3 linked regions of the Arabidopsis thaliana genome follow. The protein of the gene in region 1 interacts with the protein of each later gene in a pairwise test. Each region holds a gene or a part of one and is shown in the gene's direction. Other genes may lie near its edges.

Evidence for each region. Proteins that work in one complex are often made in the same cells at the same time.
Region 2: the proteins of AT3G48510 (region 1) and AT5G43520 interact in a two-hybrid assay, tested with the Arabidopsis thaliana proteins (one large-scale study listed by BioGRID).
Region 3: the proteins of AT3G48510 (region 1) and AT4G25160 interact in a two-hybrid assay, tested with the Arabidopsis thaliana proteins (one large-scale study listed by BioGRID).

The regions. Positions count from the first base shown.
Region 1 is NC_003074.8:17,964,669-17,971,699, reverse strand, and holds AT3G48510 (AtIII18x5-like protein), read left to right. Parts: upstream 1-3,109; 5' UTR 3,110-3,247; coding exon 3,248-4,132; 3' UTR 4,133-4,346; downstream 4,347-7,031. Other genes in the region: PDE312 (Nucleic acid-binding, OB-fold-like protein), read right to left, coding at 6,292-6,709, 6,780-6,931.
Region 2 is NC_003076.8:17,483,493-17,490,322, reverse strand, and holds AT5G43520 (Cysteine/Histidine-rich C1 domain family protein), read left to right. Parts: upstream 1-4,013; 5' UTR 4,014-4,131; coding exon 4,132-4,884; 3' UTR 4,885-5,092; downstream 5,093-6,830. Other genes in the region: AT5G43530 (Helicase protein with RING/U-box domain-containing protein), read right to left, coding at 1-996; LURE1.5 (Putative membrane lipoprotein), read right to left, coding at 1,807-2,030, 2,126-2,174; LURE1.4 (Putative membrane lipoprotein), read right to left, coding at 5,522-5,745, 5,841-5,889.
Region 3 is NC_003075.7:12,901,442-12,911,486, reverse strand, and holds AT4G25160 (U-box domain-containing protein kinase family protein), read left to right. Parts: upstream 1-3,890; 5' UTR 3,891-4,270; intron 4,271-4,784; 5' UTR 4,785-4,817; coding exon 4,818-5,016; intron 5,017-5,179; coding exon 5,180-5,301; intron 5,302-5,391; coding exon 5,392-5,513; intron 5,514-5,594; coding exon 5,595-5,773; intron 5,774-5,859; coding exon 5,860-6,275; intron 6,276-6,342; coding exon 6,343-6,444; intron 6,445-6,527; coding exon 6,528-6,956; intron 6,957-7,097; coding exon 7,098-7,856; intron 7,857-7,947; coding exon 7,948-8,127; 3' UTR 8,128-8,307; downstream 8,308-10,045. Other genes in the region: AT4G25170 (Uncharacterized conserved protein (UCP012943)), read right to left, coding at 98-372, 452-557, 647-890, 1,030-1,074, 1,338-1,747; AT4G25150 (HAD superfamily, subfamily IIIB acid phosphatase), read left to right, coding at 8,605-8,999, 9,195-9,404, 9,574-9,751. UniProt on the Arabidopsis thaliana protein: Functions as an E3 ubiquitin ligase.

The DNA.
Region 1 (7,031 bases):
GCTAATCAGTCCAAAAAATCAAGACGTACAAAGAAAAAATTAAACTTCTAAGTCTAACACTATATGATCCAAACAATTTACTAATTAAATTATTATAAACATGAAAACTGAAAAATAGTTTTTTTTGCTAAACTAGACTGAAAAAATAGTTGTAAACGGAAAAAAGAAAACATTGGATACCCAAAAACAAATCTAGTGATGTTGAAAACACATACCATTTCCAATAAGAAGTCATCTTGATCAGTCCATGCTGTTTATCTCAAAGCAGAAGCAATGCAACTATTGATCGTGAATGCAAATATATATGGTCCACGACTCATATTTGAATGAAATGTTAATTCCACATATTAAACCGTACGAAATGATATTATTATTTTATTTTTTAAAGATATTAAAATCTTTTTGAACTACAATTCCAAATGTTGATTCCAAAACTCCACTGAAAAAAACAATTAAGATCATTCTAGCTAACCATATTAAACCTAATGATATTTAATTTTGTTTTTCCGAGTTTTGTAGTTCACAAACTAACAAGATTTCAAAAACTTCAAGAAAAATTGGAAAACCAAAGTGTGGACGGAGTTACCAACTCTAAAACCTGATATTTATAAGAAAACATGCTAACATAATCATAATTATAATGACTTATACCAAATTAGATTTGAATATTTGACTACTGATGTCTTAGTCGAAAAAAAGATTGTGGTTCTAGAGTGAAAACACTTCCAGCGATAAATGTGCTGTACTTAAAACATATAAAAAAGTGATGAGTACTTTATGCTTAGTATAACTGGTTTTGGTTAATTTCATTTGATTAAATAAACAAATAAAGTTAACTACTAATAGTTTATGTGATGATTATTATAAACATATTCTTAGCAAAAAAAAAAAAAAAGATTATTATAAACATAAGCTAATGAATTGTCTTAACGTGTCCTTTTGCGTGTTCTCATGCAAAGTTCACAACACGGACCACTCGTAATACTTTCTAGATTCCCTCGCACCTTCGAACACTACTATCCCAAATCTAAGATTAAATAGTTTTTTACAAGATTTGTTTGGTTAGAACTCTAGTCTAAGTTTAAGATTTGGGAATTTTGTTTATTAACTCACTCTCAGATTTGAACCTAAGTTATGAAACGACAACAAATATTACGAACCAAAACTATAAATTCTGACTGGTTTATATTCACTCATTTTATCATTCATAAACCAAGGGATTAAATGAACCTTTTTTATGACATATAGAAATTAATTTTTTTTAATGATTTTTTATTTTTCATTCTACATAAAATTTATTTAATACAATTCCGTTATTCTATAATACAGTCAATCGTATTATCTAAATATTACTTAACATCCAAATTATTTTAGACTAAACTGTTGGTGCATATGATTTTGGTTTGAACTCCTTTTTTTCGTTTTTTTCACTGAAAGATAGATTATAGATAGAGTTTTACAAAGCTAAAGCTGGCGATTAACAAGATAATCCTAGAAACTAAGCCGACGGATAACAAAAAATCTTTGGAGACTAAGATTTTGGTTTGAACTCTTATGAGATGTTTATTATTCTACCCAAAAAAATAGACTTCAAACAGATTGAATAATGTCTTTTTGAGAATGTTTTTAGCTCATCAGAAATTTAAAATGGTTTGGACAGTAATATGTATCTGACGCATATAGAAGATTGAAACTAATTACCATCTCTTGAGAAAACAAAGTTACACAATCAAACTCTTTGTTTGGCATAGGTCCACTGGCCTAAATTTTTTCTTTGTTCCCATTTGCAAAAATTAGATTCGAACTCGTAAAACATATATATCAAGTCGCTAATAGCCATTAAACTCATTTACTGGTCAAACTATAACTGTTATTTGTCAAATCCGTTATTGTTTGAATATGTCTATCCTCAAAAGAAGATCTCGAAGCAGAAGCTCAAGTAAAATTTATATATGTATTATGAATGTATCCAAGTTTTGTCCATAAGAATTCCTCTAATATTAATAGCTAAATTAAGGAAACACCTATAAACCAGATATAGATGATTATACTTGTTATAATCATTTACTATAGATAGGTACAATAGGAGTATATTTGATTAATCAATATTCCTTCTTGATATTTCAATAACGATTACCTAACTCCATTGGCACTAATCTTTATTTTTGTCACCAAATCTTTAAGTTCATTTACGCATGAGATCATCTTGTCCCCTTTCAGATCTAATTTGTCACAATCACTTTAAATTTAATTAAGATGCCATTCGCTTTAAATTTAGACTTGGTCAATGATTATAATTATAATCGATCGACTCATCACCTTTTGAGTCGTGTGACTCGTGCGTATAAAAACCATTTTTGTTGTCAGATATTTTAACTTGATTTTGCCATCTCTTCACTATTGTTACATCAGTAAATCGCTTCGTAAGTGGAGATTAATTTGCAAATTTTGGAACTAATTACTGACCAGTGATCCACTCTATATATGGTTGTATTAGTACTTGATTGGCAAATAACAAAAAAAAAACTTAAATAAAAAAACTGTGTTATTCTTAAATTTATAGTATATGGATTAGTTTTAAGAGTGTGGTTGGGAAATATACGAAAGTCCAAGAATCTTATTAGTTCGTTCACAATTGTATAGGGATGTTGTCACTAATTTTAACCAAATTATACCTTTTTATCTTTTTGCCTAACATTTTTTTGACGTTGCCCCAAAACGAAGCAATGAGTTGAGGGTTAGTGGTAAAAATAATCAAAAAGATTATATGCATAGATTTATGTGAAGTTAACCAAAAAAAAAACTCGACCCAAAATACATAATCTTCAACAAGAACTATGTTTTCTTCTTGCAACAAGAACTATCACTCCTGTCATAGCATAGACCAAACTTTTTTTTCTCCTACACTAATATATAAAGTTACAGTTCTTTTTACTGAACGGTAAAATTAATGGTTAGAGTTGGGAGAATAACTTAGGCAAAAAAACAAAAAGAGAGAATAACTTTCCATGTGCAACCCAAACCCTTTACTACTGTCTTCTAGACCCAACACAACCACAAGCGTGCAGGCAAAGACACGTGTCCATGTCACAACTAGTATAGACTCCAACACGTGTCCAGATCACAGACGTTATAAAACCCTTACCATTTCTGTTCAGTGTATTCCTCAGCTCAAGTAAAGCTTTTACCTAATTCTCAAACATTCTTTACACAAAAATATCAAGAGTGATATAGATAGCGAGAAAAAATGGACGGTAGGGGAGGGTGTTGCATAGCTAGGTACGCCATTGGCTCTGGACCGTACGATCTTTCCAAAGCAGATCGCATCATGCTTCGATTTCGTCCCATTGCTCCTAAACCGGCCAGCCCCGGCGGAGTAAATCCCGTATCCAGCGGAGATAGCGGCGGCGGAAGCTCCGACGTTTCCTTTAGATCAGCTAGTAGAAGAAAGAGGAAATGTCATCAGCTGAAGGAGAATGGTGGTAACGCCAAGAGGTGCACCCGGCGGAAGACGTCGGATAAACCCGTCGTTCACGGCAGTGCTAATGCGGTGACTCTTTCTCTATTACCGGAGAAACCTATAGATCTTAAGGCGGCGGTGGAGAAGCAGAAGCGGCAGGGTCCGTTATGGTTGAGTTTCAAAGACGGCGGAGGGATGCTCACACCGGCTTATCAGACACCGGAGATTGTGCAGAGGACGGTGGTGATTTCGTCGTGTATGACGGTGGAGCGTGTAACGGACGCTTGGATTGACGGTTACGGTTTAGGGAGGTCAGATGAAGAAAGGAAGATGAATCTTGTGAGAGACACGTGTCCTGGTTTCATATCCGACGGTTCAGGGAGAGTCACGTGGACTAATGACGCGTATCGGAAGATGGCTAGGGATATTATTCCCGTGGAAGAAGGTGCACCGGAGATAACTAGCGGCGATAGTTTTCACGTGATCGTACGGTTGGTGATGAGGGAGAGGCCGATGCTAACGTCCCCTGGATTCACATGCAGAATGAAACTCCAGTACACGTGTCAAAATCGTGAGAGAGGCTCAGTCACGGTGCCTTGCGACGTGTGGAGAATGGACGTCGGTGGTGGTTTTGCTTGGAGGCTCGACGTTAAGGCCGCTTTGTGCCTTTGACACCGTTAGATCAACTTTAGTCACTATGGGCACGAACATTACACATGATATGTCCTCCAATGATAAAATATGGATTCAGAACTAATTAGATTTCTAATGGTTTAACATATATTTATGTCGTTTTTGTTCTTATGCCTTCTTTGTTTTTGGTTGTTTTTTAAATAGTTTTTTATTTAAGAATTTTTGTAAAAAATGCATCTTTCTTTTGTTTGTTCTTGACGCATTTGTGATGCTAAATTTCAAGCTTGTTGCTTAAAAATAATTAATGAAGGAAAATTTTGTAAGTATTTAATGCGTATCGTCGGTGCGGTTCCCACCTATATTGGACGCATGTTGTGAGATTTCACGGCAAGGACGGTTGGAAATTACGGTCCGAGTGATCGTCCAAACATGCAAATTCCAAAATGGTCCAAAAAATGTGAAACATACCATCTTGATTGCTACAAAAAAGTGTGAGCGAACCGGTCTTACTTTGAGCTAGTTACTCACTTGAAGAGATATTTCAGTCGAACTCATCACATTTTGATTTTGATATTTTCTTTTCTTTTGTCGGCACTCACGTTTTGAGGAAACAAGGAATATAAGAAAGTAAACGACCCAATAAACGTGATACGTCGGAGCAAAAGAAAACAAAAAAGGAGGGTGAGGAATAAATGTTGTACTACAGCTTTGAATGTACTACAGTCTACCTGCGGTAAAAGTGCGATATCTAATGATACGTGGGACATCTATATATCATCTATGCCATAATAGAAATGCCACATGGACCAATGTTTAACTATGTGTAGCTGTGTTTTTGGAACTTAAACATCAGTTCCATTTTTTGACAAAAAAAGAAGAAGACGTCAGATTCAAAACATTCAAATCAACGGTGTGTACCAAATTCCAAATCGTTAAGTTAATGAGAAACTGATTTTACCATCTCCGGATAAGAAATAGCGCTACAAGACTAAAATCAAAGACATTGTATGATACTATAATCGAGTTTTTAAGGGTCAAATGAATAGTGTTTAGCCGGGGACTTTTCTTTTATAAATTGTTTTTTAGAATCTTTTTGAATTTATTTTTCGTTATATATAATCAAATTAATCAAAACATAAATAAATTAAGAGTTTTAAATAGCAATACAAGTCTACCTACATTGGACATAAATTGTATAATAATTTAGTTAAGAATTTTAAGGAGACTTTTCTTTTGTAAATTGTTTGTTAGAATCTTTTAGTATTACTTAATCTTCCGTTACTATTGTTAATGACCTAACTGATCAGAAGCGGAGTACTGAGACGTTGCAAACACCATCCTTAAACCGTAAACAATATGTATGAAGATTGTTTTTGGTTGTATAAAATAAAACAAGTCAACGGACGATTTAAACAGAATAATAAAATTGGGCCGAAGCTTATTAGCCTTTTAAGGCCCACAAAGAAGAGCGAAAACCCTTAACGAGCATATACAACTCGGAGCACCTCTTTTCTCTCGCTCTCTTCCTCTTCAAGGTTTATATTTATAACTTCTTTTGCTGCTCTCAACGAACTCTTCCAGGCTAATAAACCGTCTCTGTTTTCATCTTCTCCGTAGCTGAGATAGCTCCATACCCTCTCCGACCCAAGTAAACTGATTTTCCATGTTATGGAGATTTGGTTCTCTAACTTATTGCTTTAGAGTTTTGATGTCATTGTACAAGTTTAATGCTATTATTTTTGTGAATTAGGTACAACCTTGCAGAGTAGCTTTGGTAAGAGTTTGCCTTAAGAGTTTTGTCATCAAAGAGCACACATGGTGTGAAGTTTTTGGTATACACGGAGAGATGACAAGGGTTTTTGATATTCCAGGTACGAACGAGAAAGCCTTTTGATAGAAGTTGATGTTTTGGAGCCCAAACAGAAGAAACAAGAGAAACATTTAGGCGTATTTTGCGGTGTCAAGACTACCTTCTCTGACGACGATTGATAGAAAAAACAAAAAACGTCACGTTCCTAACGTTCAACGGTGTACTACAAGATCCCAAACGTCTGGCTAAGTTAATAAGAAACTGATTTTACTATCTCCGGGATAAGAAGAAATGAAAAAAAAAAACTATCAAATAGATCAAACCTAACAGACAAAAATTCAAATAAATCAACCTCGACAATTTCTTATTTTTACTTTCCTTTTAAACATCAGTCTGTCAAGACTTGAGTACCGTTAACAAGAGGTTGCTGTTCCGAGTAACCGATACTGCTCTCATCACTCAGAATGCTATAGTCAAAATCGTCAAAATCATCGTCATCCTCTTCTTCTTCCTCTGACTCTGTTTCTTCTTCTTGACTCGCCAAGGTAGACCCTTCTTTTCTTTTCTCTATTGTCTGCTTAATCGCATCATCGTAAGACATGTCATACCACACATTGCCTTTCCCAACAATGGATTTGTTGTGTGCATCCTTCATTCTCTCTTGCTTGCTAATCTCTGAGTTCTTTGGCTCTCCCCAGTAGTCATACTGATATAATGCACTTGTTGGATCGTACTGGTCTTTCCCAAAGAAGCTTCCTGGCTTGTACCTCCCTGGTTCCTCCAATGGTAAACCAAGTGCTTGCCGACTGCAAAATAAATCTTCTTCATCTAAACACTTTCTTTGAAAAACATCAAAGTGAACTTTTTTTTACTTACGAGCTGATATCTCTGAGCAATGCTTCTCTTTCCTCCAAAGATCGGCGCCAGTGTAAGAAATCATACTCGTCCATCTCTATATTTCGTCTGAGCTTGTCAATTTTGTATCCTTCTCCTCTTGCTTTAGCTTCCATCATTAGTTTATTGTGGTGCTGCACAAGACAACAGGAGAGTATTGAGTTATTAACCACTATCAGTATAAAAGATTCATACAACAATGTGTCAATTACAAAGTGCAAAGCCTTAAAATGG
Region 2 (6,830 bases), on another chromosome or scaffold:
TTCCAGATCAATAACTTCAGGGGTATCCAACTTCTCTGGTTTCACAACTCGAAGAGGCGTCGGCGCCAGGATACAGCTTTCCACACCGACTGGTGCATATGATTCCATCTCCATTTTCCTTCTCTTGGCTGATGTACCATCTGAATCTCCAGACGAAAAGAGATCATCATTCTCTTGCTCTAGCTTCTTATTAATCTCACTTGGCTGGTCTTCCAGGACTTTGATTACCTCATCCTTCTTCTCAAGCACATTCGGAAAAACAGAATCTTCTTCCAATTTTGTACCTAAATCAGGTTCTTCTTTCACCTTGACATCAACACACTCATAATCTAAACCTCTCGAAACAGTTTCAACCACAGATTCCGCTATCGAATCAGCAATCATTTCTTCTTCTTTAACAACCACCAGATTATCAACACACAATTCAGGGTCCACTACCTCAACCTTCACATTACAATCACAACCCGAAGCAGTTGAAACAATTTCAACAACAGAATCTTCTATAGAATCAACAATCATTTCTTCTTCTTCTTTAGCAACCACCAGATTCTCAACAAGCAATTCAGGTTCCACTACCTCTACCTTAACATTACAATCATCACCAGAAGCACTTGAAACAATTTCAACCACAGAATTTTCTATCGAATCAATAATCATCGCTTCTTTGCGATTCTCAACATCTAAATCAGGTTCTCCAATCTCTAGATTCTGCTCCCTAAATGAATCAGATTCTACAATCTCTTTGTTCACACAAGTAAAACCATCACTAATTACCTCGTCTTTCGCCGGAAGCGTAACCTCCGAGTTAGATCCATCGGAGTCAACAAGGCTTTGCTCCGCCGGTAGAGCTGAGATTCGGACTCCAGTGGTTGTTCTGATGACTAGAGAGGATTCGTCTATAAAATCGGGAGTATCTGCAACGATCTTACGATCATCGGAACTCGAAACAGCTTCGGATTCGGTTAACCGCATCTCTGCGTCATCAACAATGGCCATTTGGGAAGAAAGGAGGAGAGGGAAGAGAGAGGCGAAAATGGAGGATGAGAGTGGGGGGCGTAGGGGTTTTAAATAGGAATTGGTCTTTTGGGATTCTAGTTTTGGCGCGAATTGAAGTGAATGGGTTTGGTAATAAAATTGGCGGGGTGTTTTTTGGAGCCGAAATTACTGTAAATCTCGCCGTTAATTTACCAAATTTATGTGTAAAATTTTGCCTCTTTGCAGGATATTTAGAGTATTTCCTTTTGCAAACCTTAAAATTAGGTAAGCGAATTTGGTTAATCGATTTTTTTGCTTTTTCAAAAATCTTACCGAAATTATGATAAAAAATTATTTGGTTCGGATATCTGCTATTTTTAAATAAAAATAAAATCTACCAACACCTTTTTCTTTTTTTTTTTTTGTTGAAATTCAGTTAATGTTTTTAGATTTCTGAGTTTTCGGTTAATTCGCTTCAGTTTTCTCAATCCAAAGGACTGGATTCGACCCAAATATTTTATTCGTGTTGCCTTCTTTAATTGCTCCATAGCTTGTATAACATCCAATATTTGATTATTGATTTGTATTTTAGGTTTGGATTCTTTTACTCTAACTGGTCATTACAAATGAGGATCCGCGCCAATTATGTCATCTTCAACATTTTTTTAATTTTTCAATGACTTATGTTTCCAGATAAATTTTATGTTAAGTGCACACTATAAAATTTTTAGATTATTATACATGTTCATTATTGTAAAAAGAAGGGCATGGATGAACATTAAGCAGTAATATAATTTGTTTTTTATTAATGTTTAACAAAATTACAATACCTTATTTAATATCACTAATACTGTAACGACAAAGTTTTCTTTCAAAACTACATGTACGAATATACTTACCCCGTCTCATACAAGCTCTTGCGCAATCAAAACAGTAACCAATTCTCCCAATTTTAAGTTCTTGGTTCAGTGAGCGTGGATCAAAAGGACTTGCTCTTGGACTGAAAGAATATGTTCTCTCTTCATCACTAGATCCATTTATAAGTACTGATGTACCTATCAAATTTTCAAAAGATATATCAAATTCTTAAACAGTTTTTGTAATGATTATAATACTGACACATTATCCTAATTAAATAATTTAAACTTACATGAAGAAACAAAAATTAATAGAGTTAAGAATATAATAGGCAACTTCATTTCTTGGTAGAAATTAACCAATATCACAAAGAAAATATATTAAATATTATTGTGAATCGTTTTTCTTTTGTTTTGCTCTGGAGTATTAAAGCAATATTTAGTCATATTTATAGACTCTGTAGATAAATATGTTATATAAAGAGTTAATTTTCAGTTAAACGTTTTATTTTGTTATAAAGTAAAATTTAGTAACATATTACGTTTGTTTTTGTTTTAAAATTATAATTTTTTAGTTATTAAAATCTGTTATATATTGGTATAAATAGTAATATACATCTAATAAGTGCAAACAATTACATGTTTAAAACTTTAGATTTCAAAAATTACTATTGATGCCCACATTTTATTTAAAATATTTAATTCGAGGAACTAATAAATATATAATATAATTTGATTAAAAATATCAAAAAGTTCTATATTATATATATACTAACTCATGATGCCTATCTTGCTTTTCTAACAAAATCTTAAATCACTTTTGGATTCCTTATTAATACTTATGATCTTAAAGATGACCAAATCAATTAAATTCTTATATGCCTCGAATCAATCCAAACTCTTTCTACATATGTATATCTTTTAGTTATAAATTGCTTAAATTATTTATTAATAAGAAAATCTTTAAATCACCTTATTTCATTTTTTTTTTTGAACAAACACCTTTCAGTTTTTATCTATAGAAACAAATTATTCTTCAAAGTCTTATAAACAAAAGTCTTTTAAGTTGTAACCTGATTATTAATAAGATTTGGTATTAAGTTTTTGAGATTGTTTTACCAAAAAAAAAAGAAAAAAACAAGTTTTTGAGATTTAAACGAAAAAAACCCCTCAAGTATCGATAAATCCATTTTAAAGCCCTCAGCTATATTATTAATGAAAAAACCCTTAACTAAGAGATTTAAGTGACAAAAACCCTTAAGTATTAATCAATTTTTTTTACTTTTTGTGCAGCATCTTCAATATCTAAATTAGTAATAAATGATGATAAACTTGGAGACTCTTGTATAACGAAATCAGAAAAAGAATTTTTCGACTTTTAAAGATATATACCTGAAACTGCATAGATTTGAAACTTTTCTAACGGGGATGACACTATCTTTAAACCGTCAAAGTTTTTAATAATATTCCAATACATGATCAAATTTCCAACCATATTTGAAATTTAGATCTTGCATATATATTAGCATTTCTTAATTTCCCTTGATTGAACTGGATACAGTTTTAAGAAAAATATAAATAAATAATGATGCTTGCATGTAGTTTATATAGAATACTCACTACATCATCACTTGAAGCACCACTTGAATGTTTATATTCACATTATTTGATCTATGCATGTTGTTTTCTTGTTGCTTTCTTTTTTTTGGTAGGGAATTGATCTGTACAGAAGTTTTCGTTTGTTTTAAGACTTAAAACTATGGTTAACCAATTAACCTTTTTTTTTGGTGAGAAGAGGGGAGACAACCGACAATATATTACTCAAAACTATATTAAACCAATTAACCTTATCAAATGGAAGTTGCACAAGATAAATTAGATAATAATTAGCATAGACTTAGAGACGTTGACCTCATTAAACCTTATCCTCTCTACACACACACATATATATATTATGCGGATATGCCCTAGTTGCTATAAAACTCGGATGTTAATTAGAATATTTATTTCTACAAGTTATCTTAATCTTAGAATAATAAACACCAAAGCGCGTCTAAATACTTTTATTTCCTAAACTTTGAATCCCAAATGTCAAAGTCTCCTATACAGATGTCAAACCTTATAATTAGCGAAATAGCATAATACAATGACAACTTGATTAATATAATCAATAAAACGAAACGCATACTCATTAAACCTACAATTATAATGAAGTCCTCTTGCAGTTTTTGGTATATAAAGTTCCACACCCTTCTCCCTCAAAACAACCAAAACCAAACACAAATCAATAACATACTAAATGGCTTCAAGAAAACCAAAGGCCAAACCGGTTAATCGCCAATCTGTGAGGCACCCAAGTCACAACCATCCGCTGCGTGTCTTTAAAGCCAAAGAAGAGGATGAGACCGCATGCTCTGGCTGCGAGCTAGAGCTGACCGGGCAAGCTTTCAAATGTATAAAGTCAGAGTGCGATTACTTCTTACACAAGTCATGTTTCGACCTTCCTAGTGAGACCAATAACAAGTCTCACCAGGACCACCCTCTGACCTTGCTTCATTCCCCACCAGATGATCGGTCTGTCTACACGTGTGACGCGTGTGACCAATACGGATCTGGATTTTCTTACCATTGCTCAAACTGCAACTACAGTCTTCATGTGGGATGTGCGTTTATCCCTGAAACCGTAGATCGTGAAGATCATGAACATCCACTCACTCTTCTTTATTGCACACCGTGTAAAGGACGTGAAGACACGTACTTCACTTGCAGCGCTTGTGATGAAACTATTTCAGAAGATCTATGGATGTATTACTGTAAGGATTGTGACTATGGAACACATCTACACTCATGTGCGGCATATGAAGACCAAGGGAAAGAAGAAGAAGATGAAGACGAAGAAGGAGAAGCGAGTTCTCCAGCTTCTAGGATAAAGTCGTTGATGAAGGCGCAAGACGAGATGGCGGCTATGCAGCTAGAGGCACGTATTGAGAATGATGCGAGGAATGCTGCACTTGATCTGTGGGATGAACCAAAACGTAGATACTATTGGTGATCAAGAAGGGACGAATATATTTATGAATATTGATATTTTTCTTTGCGAAATATGGTTTCCAAAAATAAAGAAACAATAGATATATTACTCTTTCTTGTTTGGTTCTTGTTTATTTGTGTGGATTTAATCATAAACACTCGTGTGTAAGTTGTTTATTTTGCAATATGAAGAAGAAGAAAAAATTTAAGTTGATTTGAAGATTTGTTTTCTTTCATTTTCTCTATCGTAACTCGGAAGAGGTTTAGGTAAATATGTAACATAATCAAACATATTGGAACCTTATTTATCTAGAGATGTGACGGTGATTAAAAACTTTGACCCTTTAAAAAACTTTCAAACCCGTATTTTATATAATAAAATAGATTTACAGTATAGATGAGCAAAATAAATTTGTTTAAATGTAAAATGTTTAGAAAAAAACTAACAGTTTCCTTGATTATAATGAATAAGTTTAATTTTTCAAAAATATTTTTTTATTTGTCAAGGACTTATGTTTCCCAATAAATTTCATGTTTAATGCACACTACAAAACTGTTAGATTATTATACATGTTCATTATTGTAAAAAGAAGGACATGGATGAACATTAAACAGCAATATTTTTTATTATTATTAATGTTTAACAAAGTTACAATGCCTTATTTAATATCACTAATACTGCAACGACAAAGTTTTCTTTCAAAACTACATGTACGAATATACTTACCCCGTCTCATACAAGCTCTTGCGCAATCAAAACAGTAACCAATTCTCCCAATTTTAAGTTCTTGGTTCAGTGAGCGTGGATCAAAAGGACTTGTTGTTGGACTGAAAGAATATATTCTCTGTTCATCACTAGATTCATTTATAAGTATTGATGTACCTATCAAATTTTCAAAAGATATATCAAATTTTTAAACAGTTTTTGTAATGATTATAATACTGACACATTATCCTAATTAAATAATTTAGACTTACATGAAGAAACAAAAATTAATAGAGTTAAGAATATAGAAGGACACTTCATTTTTTGGTAGAAATTAACCAATATCACAAAAAAAAATATGAAATGTTTTTGTGAATCGTTTTGGATTTCGTTTTTATTTTGTTTTGCTGTGGATTATTTAAACAATATTTAGTCATATTTATAGACTCAGTAGATAAATATGTTATAAAAGAGTTAATTTCATTTAAACGTTTTATTTTGTTATAAAGGAAAGTTCAGTAACTTATTTCGTTTGTTTTTATGTTTAAATTATAATTATTTAGTTATTAAAATATCTTATATATTGGTATAAATAATAATATATATCTAATAAGTGCATACAATTACCGGTTTAAAACTTTAGATTTTAAAAATTACTATTGATACCCACATTTTATTTAAAATACTTAATTCGAGGAACTAATACTTATATATAATAGAATTTGATTGAAAAGATCAATAATTTCTATATTATATATATACTAAACCCCAAACCAAGCACTAAGAAATATCGCAATGAATCCTACACTTCTATATCTGAAGAATCGAATCCAAACCACAAACTGAATGGGTACCATTATATAATTATATATATAAAATATTAATTATTTTTAGACTGGATGTAAGCCAATGATCCAATATTACAATTATAAATCCAAAAATATTAATTATTTTTTAGATCAAAATAACTAAAATATCCAATAATAACCAAATTATATGAACATTCTTAGTTATATTTATCAAAATTTAAGCAAAGTTTTTTTAAATTTAACCAATTGTTTTATCAGAATATTCGATATTTCGGGTACCCGAACTCGAACAAAACACCCATGGCTAGATTTTTATTTTGTGATAGTTGTTGACATCAGTATATCTAAAGATTTCATTATAGCTGGTCTAGTTAGGGTTACAAATTTGTTTGCACAGCCCACTAAAATCTCCAATGTTTTCTCACAATCTTAATGTTGAGGATTTTTTATTGA
Region 3 (10,045 bases), on another chromosome or scaffold:
TAGTATCAAACAAACCACAATATGACCTGAAACAAAAGCTAAACAAGCAGCATGATGAAGACCAAATGTATTGTCGGCTAATTTGAAACGATCAAGACTAGTTGCAGGCTCGGGATACCATCACGACCAGCATAACGATGATGGATAGCAGGACCGAAGTGGTCAGCTTTTCCTCGAGCCAATTGTTGAATTTGGCATCTTTCCCCTTGTTGTTAACACCATCACCATTGTAACAATTGAAGAGCTCGGTCACGACCTTTGTTATTTTCACAAACACTTCCGTGGCCTTAACCATTGTGTTGTCAAATACCCACTTTATGAAATCCGTTGCTGCGTTATTCTCCCTAGGGGTGTCTTCTGAATTTTCCTCATCTGTAATACAAAAACTGAGTCCCCTGAGAAGTCTGTCAAATGAAATGTTTAGATTGATCAATTCATTATCTCTTTATACCTTGACTTATGCCATTGTTGTACAAGTCCCTAATCTCTCGCACCACATCGTTGTTCATCACCGCCTCCCAAACTGCTTTGTCAGACGACAATGATACTACCATTTTCTGCATTAAAATGTGAAAAAGCCCTTTCTTCATGTACCAAAAAGTAAACATGAGCTTAGTGTAATCAAGAAAACAAAAGAAAGTATCACCTGGACAGATGGTTCGGTTCGTAGTAGGTCAAAAGCATTGTAAACCTGATCATAAGCATGAGGCTTTAACGTTCTTGAATGGCATAAATGCATTGATGGCTCCATCCAGTCCGAATCCGACCCGAATGAAGGAACTTGATGAACCATCCCTGTGGCTATAGGGCTCTGGTTTCCACCACCATTTTCCGGATAGCACTCGTATTTGTCTCTAACCAGCTGGGAATATGAACTAGCATCGAAAACCCTTCAAGAAAATAAAACAAAACCGTTACTCCAACACGTAAACAGAACACAAATATTTCGAAATCCATAAGATAACAAAGACCAATTACTATTATGAATAAACCAGCAAACAACTTTTGAAAGTATTTTAAGTACAAAACAACTGAGTGGGGTCACGGAGACACAGCTGAAAGAGTTTCAAACTTCTTCAAGATCATCAAATCAAGACAATTCCATCCATATCAGGAAAGAAAACAATTAAACTTTGAGACACTATAGCAGTCCATAACAATTCTCGTGTCTCTCTCTATTACTTAGACAACTCGTGGGAACTAATACCTACCACTCAAAAGTGATCAATTTATGAGATTTTATGACAATAATTTCCACAAGACTCAAACTCAAATAGTCACATCCAAAGAATCACACATTTTCAAGTGAAATGAGAAAAGAGAAGAAATTAGATTACTGCTGGAGAGCAGAAACAGCATCTTGGACTTCATCAACAGAAGGAACAGAGCCAAACAGAGAATCATCTTCTTCCTCAGAAACCCACTCAAAATCATCATAACCTCCAGAATTAACAAAGGAAAAAGGACCGCCGCCGCTCCATCCGGAGGTTGCAGCCACCGGAAGATTCAACAACAACCCAGAAGCCGCGGAATACGTCAGATTATTCGACCCAGAAGAAGAAGATCTCTGTTTCTGGACATGCGAAACAGAGGCGTTTCCAGCCGGAGACGACGTGGACGATGATGATGAAGAAGCAAAGGGATCTTGAATACCACCGTTGGCTACACCGGTCCTCGTCATCGCACGACCGGCGGCGCGTAACATACCTCCGCCGCCACCCATAGGCCCTCTTCCTCCACCAAACATAGAGAGATCACTATCAAATTGTTTTTACTTACACGACAGGTTGCGTATGTTTACTCGGTGAGTTTGTCTTTTGGTCCGATGCTATTTCGTAGGCTTTTTACTTGAAGCAGTTTTGATTGAATCGAGGAAGTGGATAAATGCGAAATGTCTTTTATAGATTTTCAGGAATATATGACTTTCTTTACTTTGCTTTGGTCCTTCTTCTCCACGACACGCTTATCCGTTTACTCTGTTTTCTTTTTTTCCATTAAATGCATTAAAATACTACTCCACTGTTGTTATAATAATAATTGTTTCAATACTGGATTATATATCCCAAATTTATTTGGTACGTCAGCATATGAGTTTCCAAAAACGAAATAAAAACATAATAAAAAAAAAAGAGACTATGCTTTATTATAACTAAAGGTGTACATAGATCAAATCATAAAATTTCATATTCAATTTGGATAATTTGGATGTGGTTAAAAACCTAAAAGTCTAAAACCAGTACGTAATAGTAGTTTTCTTTTTTTCCGTGTAACATATGTATGGGTTTATATAAACCAAAACATATTTGTAGGTCTTTTTCATTTTGAGTTTCGGTAGCGTTTTCAATTGGATTTTATTTGAATTTTAATCCAAAATAATGGATTTTTATCATAGTTAGACAAAAATTTCACGGAATTTATGGGTAAATAGTTTTTCTTTTGTTCGTGAATGTCAACGAACATAGGCATTTTTAGTGTGGTCAAACTATGTTTAAGTTGATGTGTGTATGTATCTGACAGGTAAGTCTGTTGTTTTGCAAACATGTTTTCAATATCATTCTTTACCAAAAAATGATATTTTCATATTACAAAGCAGATTATTTTAGAGTAACTTTGTAAACTATTCAAAACAAATGTGTACACAAAGGTTACTTTTGCATTTAAACCTTTATGTAATTAATAAATCAAGTCATTTCAGCCATTAATAAATTAAGATATTTGTATCTAATTCAACATTGTAAATTATCATATTTAAAAGTTCTTCCACTATCAAATTTCATCATCGCCATATAATTAGAGTTTCTACACTCGATCATGTATTAAAAGAAGATCTTGACCACACACACAACAAAAGAAACAAATTGTAAGAAAATACCCATTTGCAAATTTCCTATTAATAAGTTATAAATAAATTATATGTCATTTGCTATTTACTAATGTCATTTATCCAGTTTTCATTGGACAAACTCTGCCTTTTTCGTCCATTTTTTTCTTAAAAAAAGATGGCCATTCATAGTAAAAAGAATATTATGTAGTGCAACACAATATTGATATATATTCTTATATTTTTGACAGAATTTGTTCTTTAGTTTTTGCATCAAACAAAACGAGAATGGAGAAAATAATCATTGATATATTGACCTGAACACTAGTCGTTTACATTCAGAATACACAATAGTAATACGAATACTAGACTCAAGAGCATGAAAACTCCAAAACCAATTTGAAAGTGGGAAGACATTTCGTACGGAAAAAAGGAGAATCAACATAAGAAAATAATAATAGATTTTAAGTTTATAGAGATATTAGATAATTGAAATTTGAAAATAATGTGTCCTGATCGAATATTTCATGATGAATGACTACAGGGGATGAAGATTTTAGCGTCGAGACAAGACAAGTTTAAAATTCGAGTTTTTTCCACCTTTTATCATCAATCATCAAGGAACAATGACATGCCAATTCGTTTTCCATAAGTAACTTTTAATGTTTTTAGCTTCTATAGATACTTTGAATGCTTTTATTCTAAAAGGTCTTTGTTGACAAGGTCAAAGAGCCTAATCGAATCCTCTTGATCAGCCAGAGAGTTTTGCCTTCGTCTTTGGATTTTGCCAAAATTGGTTACTTAATCAGCCAGAGGTTAAAACTCGTAAACCGGCGTTTAAATTGAACCGGCCAAATCACGGTTCAAATGCGAACCAATGTTGTAGGTGAACTCTACCAAAGTCTTGTACCACTCCACTATGCATAAAGGGGAGGAGACAAAAAGACGTGAGGAAGACATAGATCATGCGTGCAACTATGGCCAAACTCGATATAATAATGGCGTTGAGGAATGTAGTTAAATACCAAATAATTAGGGAATTAAGAGATAAACTATGATTAAACTAATAGTCAAGGCCTAAGGTTGGAGAAAACTTCTTTCTTTTAGAACACACTCTCCTTCTGTCACTCTGATAATGAAGAAAATTCAGGCGAGAGAACAAAAGAGTATATACCCAGGACTGATCCTCCTTTGACCATTAACATGACCAACTTGTCTCATTTTCTTATTATTTTTGATGCTTCTTTTCAAATCTTTTTTAGATTCTCTGGTTATAAGAACCCATTGTTTGTATCTGAGATTAGCAGCACCAACGTGGGTCTTCATCTTCTTCTTCTGCTGCTCTCTTTATTTTCTGAAATTGATTGCTCTGTGAAATGGAAGCTTCCACCATTTCTTCTCTCAATTTTTGTATTGGGTTTGACTAAAGTCGCATCCTTTATTTACCAGGTAGGTTCAATTTCTGGTTTTCTTGTTTAACTCTATGCCCTGAAGATGGTCCCTTTGATTGACTTGATCAATGTTTCATAACCTTTCGAATTCTCTGCAATTGCATTGTGCTCAAAGTTGACATTTTTATTGGAAAGTTTGAGTTTTTTTTTTTATCTTTATAAGAAGCTAGCTATTTGTTAGCTTCGATGGTCGTTGAGTGTTGTTGCTTTACGATCCTTTTGGTCGTCCAAATTAGACTCTGAGACATTTGACTTTCAACGCTATTAAGAGTATCTCATGATCGGTATACCTCCGTTAGATTCTGTCAATACTTATTATTATTTGCCTTTTCGGTTTGATGAGTTGATATTCAACATTCAGCTATGTGAGTTCAAATATAATTACTGTCTGTTGATTCCCACTGACTGGAGAGTTTTAGCTTTCCCTTTCTTTCATGTTATCTCTACTTTAGGAACAAAACACTCTTTTTAGAACATTGTTTTGCAGTGTCTGAAATGGTTGTAGTGTGCAGGGTCAATAGAAACAAGAACACAAAAGATTAACAATGAGTAGATCACCAGACAAGCTTGCTCTTCCTCCTCCTCCTCCTCCTCCCCCATCTCGTACCGTCGTTGTGGCTCTAAGTGGGAGCAGTAAAAGCAAATATGTAGTTACATGGGCGATCGAAAAATTTGCTACTGAAGGAAATGTTGGCTTCAAGCTGCTTCACATCCATCCAATGATTACTTCTGTACCTACACCAAGTAAAGTTCCAACTATGCCTTGTATTTCTGTTTCTTTCTTTCTTGTACTCAGGACTTCTTCCTGTGTTTCCCTTTTTTCTATTTGGTATTGTTGTGTAAAACAAAATCAAGACTTATTGTAACTGATAAAAAGCCTGATGTACATTTCTTGCTCCTTCTCAAGTGGGAAATGCAATCCCGATTTCCGAGGTACGAGATGATGTAGTAACTGCATATAGACAGGAAATACTGTGGCAGTCTGAAGAAATGCTTAAACCTTACACAAAACTGTTCGTGCGGAGAAAGGTATTTTCTTTGGTATAATGAGATATCTTACGCTCTTCTTTAATGAAAATTTCAAGGTTACATGAACTCATTGAATTACCTTAATGAAAGGTTGCAGTAGAAGTTCTTGTGATCGAATCAGATAATGTGGCAGCCGCAATAGCTGAAGAAGTGACTCGGGATTCAATAGACAGAATTGTCATTGGAGGCTCATCCCGTAGTTTTTTCTCAAGGTACACTACCACCCTGCTGCTAGCTTTCGACCTTTGTTCTTTCTATTCCGTGTACCAATGAATCTGTTTTGAAAATTCCAGGAAAGCTGATATTTGCTCGGTGATATCAGCTTTGATGCCAAACTTTTGTACAGTCTATGTTGTTTCAAAAGGTAAATTGTCATGCGTCCGACCATCAGACTCAGACGGAAATGCTACTATAAGAGAAGATGGTAGTGAGAGAACAAATTCTTCAAGCGGTTCTTCTGGTCCCACCTCAGGTCCATGACTCATCAATGTATTTGTGTGAATACTCTACTAGAAATGGTGTGTATATCTAATTCTGTTACCCCATTTTCTCTTCTAGATTCATCAGATGTAATGTCAAGTGCGCATGACTCTCAATCTCGTCCTCTATCCCTTCCGGTCAGGAGAATGCAACATTTCCCTGCAATTGCAGGACAGGCATCAGTTCCAATGGAAACGAGTTCTGTTGGCTCGGATGAAACCAGGTGCATGTCTTTGGATGCAGAGGAAGCTAGAGATGTTTCAAGTATCAATAGAAGCAGCACAGATACTACATCACGTTGGACTCCTCGGCGTAGAGATTATGAGGAGAGAAAAGAAGCTATGAGTTCTTCTTCGAGCAACCGTGAATACGGGAATTTTGGTACTAGGTTTAGTTGGAGTGGCATGGGTGTCGATACTACACACTCTCGGGCTTCTCAACAAGCTTCCAACATGTCTGATGCTCTAAGTGAACAATCCTATACAGACAACCAGGTATAAAATGGAGTTTTAATTTCGACATTGTCTTGTGAATCGGAATAATATAAGATTATTTGTTCAGGTAAACCTAAACTTTGAGGTTGAGAAGTTGAGAGCTGAGCTTAGACACGTTCAAGAAATGTATGCTGTGGCTCAAACCGAAACCTTTGATGCTTCTCGAAAGGTGAAGGCCTCATAATATCATATATCTTTGCATTTGATGAAACTTATTAAATTGTGCTCAATGCTTTTCTGAAAATGTTTCAGCTTGGTGAACTTAACCAACGTCGGTTAGAAGAAGCCATAAAGCTTGAAGAGCTAAAGCTGAAGGAGTATGAAGCTCGAGAGTTAGCAGAAAAGGAAAAGCAGAATTTTGAGAAGGCAAGGAGAGATGCAGAGAGCATGAGAGAAAGAGCAGAGAGAGAAATTGCGCAGAGAAGAGAAGCCGAAAGGAAATCCGCACGTGATACTAAAGAGAAAGAGAAGCTCGAGGGCACTCTCGGGTCTCCTCAGCTGCAATATCAGCACTTTGCTTGGGAAGAAATTATGGCTGCCACTTCATCATTCTCAGAAGAACTGAAGATCGGAATGGGAGCTTACGGAGCTGTTTACAAGTGTAATCTGCATCATACAACTGCAGTTGTCAAAGTTTTGCAGTCAGCTGAAAATCAACTTTCCAAACAATTCCAACAAGAGGTATGGAAGTGAGCTCAAATTTGGTTTAAGGAACTTTGTTTGAGATTTTGTGCCTTTCACTATATGGAAGTTTTCTGATTTTAATTTCAATTCTTGTGGATAAGAGTCTACATTTATCTCACTGGCCTCTCTAATTTGCAGCTCGAAATCTTGAGCAAGATTAGGCATCCACATTTGGTTCTCCTTCTAGGAGCGTGCCCGGAGCAAGGTGCTTTAGTTTATGAGTACATGGAAAACGGTAGCTTGGAGGACAGACTTTTCCAGGTCAACAACAGTCCGCCACTCCCGTGGTTTGAGCGGTTTAGGATTGCTTGGGAAGTTGCAGCGGCTCTTGTCTTCCTCCACAAATCAAAGCCTAAACCAATCATTCACCGTGATCTTAAACCTGCAAACATCTTACTTGATCACAACTTTGTCAGCAAAGTTGGAGACGTGGGACTCTCAACGATGGTTCAAGTCGATCCTCTATCAACTAAATTCACTATATACAAACAAACAAGCCCCGTGGGAACGTTATGCTATATTGATCCGGAATATCAGCGCACTGGAAGGATATCATCGAAATCAGATATCTACTCCTTTGGAATGATTCTTCTTCAGCTTCTCACAGCAAAACCTGCTATTGCATTGACACATTTCGTTGAGAGCGCAATGGATAGTAATGATGAGTTCCTTAAGATCTTAGATCAGAAAGCCGGTAACTGGCCGATTGAAGAAACCCGGGAATTGGCCGCATTAGCTTTGTGTTGTACAGAGCTACGCGGGAAAGATAGACCTGATTTGAAAGATCAGATTCTTCCAGCGCTCGAAAACCTAAAGAAAGTAGCTGAAAAGGCAAGGAACTCATTTTCCGGCGTATCGACACAGCCTCCCACTCATTTCATCTGCCCATTACTTAAGGTAAACTCTATATAAAACCTTGTTCAATGTTGAAACATCTCATCTCAGTGTGTTGTGGTGAAAATGTGTGAGCTTGTGTGGTATAATGCAGGACGTGATGAACGAGCCGTGCGTTGCAGCAGACGGATACACATACGACCGTCATGCGATAGAGGAGTGGCTTAAGGAGCACAACACATCGCCGATGACGGATTCACCGTTGCATAGCAAGAACCTTTTACCCAATTATACTCTTTACACAGCCATCATGGAATGGAGGTCTACACGATAGTAGTAAGCCAAACTGTGTAGCGTTTTTGTGGATATATAAACGGCAAGACGTTTTGCTTTGTACTACTACTACACACATGCTGAATCAAAAATATAAACCGAAACGAAACCTTAATCATCTTGTAAACGAATATTCGGATCCATCCGTTAATTTGCCTCCAAATAAGAACACAAAACCATTGCCCTTTATTTTTCATTTTGGTATTTTGGTCTTTTTTGTCTCTCTTCCTTTCCATTGCCCAAAAAGAAACAGAAACTTTTCTCCGAGAATCCTCATTTCTCCGTTGAAAAAAGGACCTTGAGAGGAAATGTTTCACTGTTTCTAGGGTTCTTATAATCCACTTCCTCATCATTAGAGAATGGAAAATCTCCTCTTCTCTTTGATATTTCTTCGGATTTCGCTTATGTCCTGAATCTCTTGAAGACCCAATTGAAAAAATCTCAACTTTTTTTCTCCCGGCGTTTCCGGCGATATACAATGCGGATTCTCGTGAATCTCATTCTCTTCTCCTTGATTCCTCTGGCGTTCTCCAATGAAAACTCCAGCTCGTATCTCATTGCGCGACCATTGATCTTCGAAACCCAGCTCAAGAACATAAACGACAATGTCAATCTACATTGCACGAGCTGGAGATTCGCGGCGGAGACAAACAATCTCGCTCCATGGAAAACCATTCCAGCTGAATGCGCCGATTACGTGAAAGATTACCTGATGGGTGAAGGTTACGTCGTCGATGTGGAGAGAGTCTCCGAAGAAGCTAAGGTTTACGCGAGCAGCTTCGAATCTAACGGTGACGGGAAAGACATTTGGATTTTCGATATTGATGAGACGTTATTGTCGAATCTTCCTTATTACATGGAACACGGTTGTGGGTAATTTATCTTAAATCTTTCATTTTACAACATTGCTATAAAAAGTTGGTTCCTTGATAATTGTATAGATGGATTTGTCTTTTTACTATGTCGAATTAGTTAAGATTTGAGGTATGTGTTGTTGTCTGTCTTTTTCTTTGCTTGTTTGTCTATGTATGATAAATGTGAATGTTTGTTCTGTTTGGGAATTTGCAGGTTGGAAGTTTTTGATCATTCAAAGTTTGATATGTGGGTAGAGAAAGGGATAGCACCTGCTATAGCACCAAGCTTGAAGCTTTACCAAAAGGTTATACATTTGGGGTACAAAGTTATCTTGCTTACAGGGCGTAGAGAGAACCACCGGGTTATCACTGTCGAAAACCTGCGCAATGCCGGTTTCCATAACTGGGACAAGCTTATTCTGAGGTATGCATACTCTACTTTTGGACCTCCATTACAATGTAGCTCATACAGTTTTTAACCAACTATTGATCTGGATCCATGGTTGTGGTAACATGACGTTGTTTGATCTTGGATTGTAATCTTGGGTTTGAATGGATGATTGACGCTTTGGTTTGCTGCTTAATGTTAATAGATCGTTGGATGATCGGAACAAAACAGCGACCATGTACAAGTCAGAGAAGAGAGAGGAGATGGTGAAAGAAGGGTATAGGATCAGAGGCAATTCAGGTGACCAATGGAGTGATTTGTTGGGTTCTGCAATGTCAGAAAGATCCTTCAAACTTCCAAATCCAATGTATTATATCCCCTGAAGGGGATCAACTAGAATCAGGAGGCAATTCAGGTTACTAAATGGAGCAACCTACTGTTTTTGAAGTTTGGGTTGCCATGTAATCACTTGCAATAAATATATGTACTAATGACTGCATCGGCTTGCGTGTCTAAATTTGTAGCTTATTGAAAACTTTTTGTGGTTAAAGACGAATCCAGTTAACTAACATAAGTTTAACAAAACAAGACCTTTTCCATATATAGACCACCGTTACCAACTTACAAAGAAGCCAAATAAAGTACAACACAACACTTGCAAGTTACAAAAAGAGAGG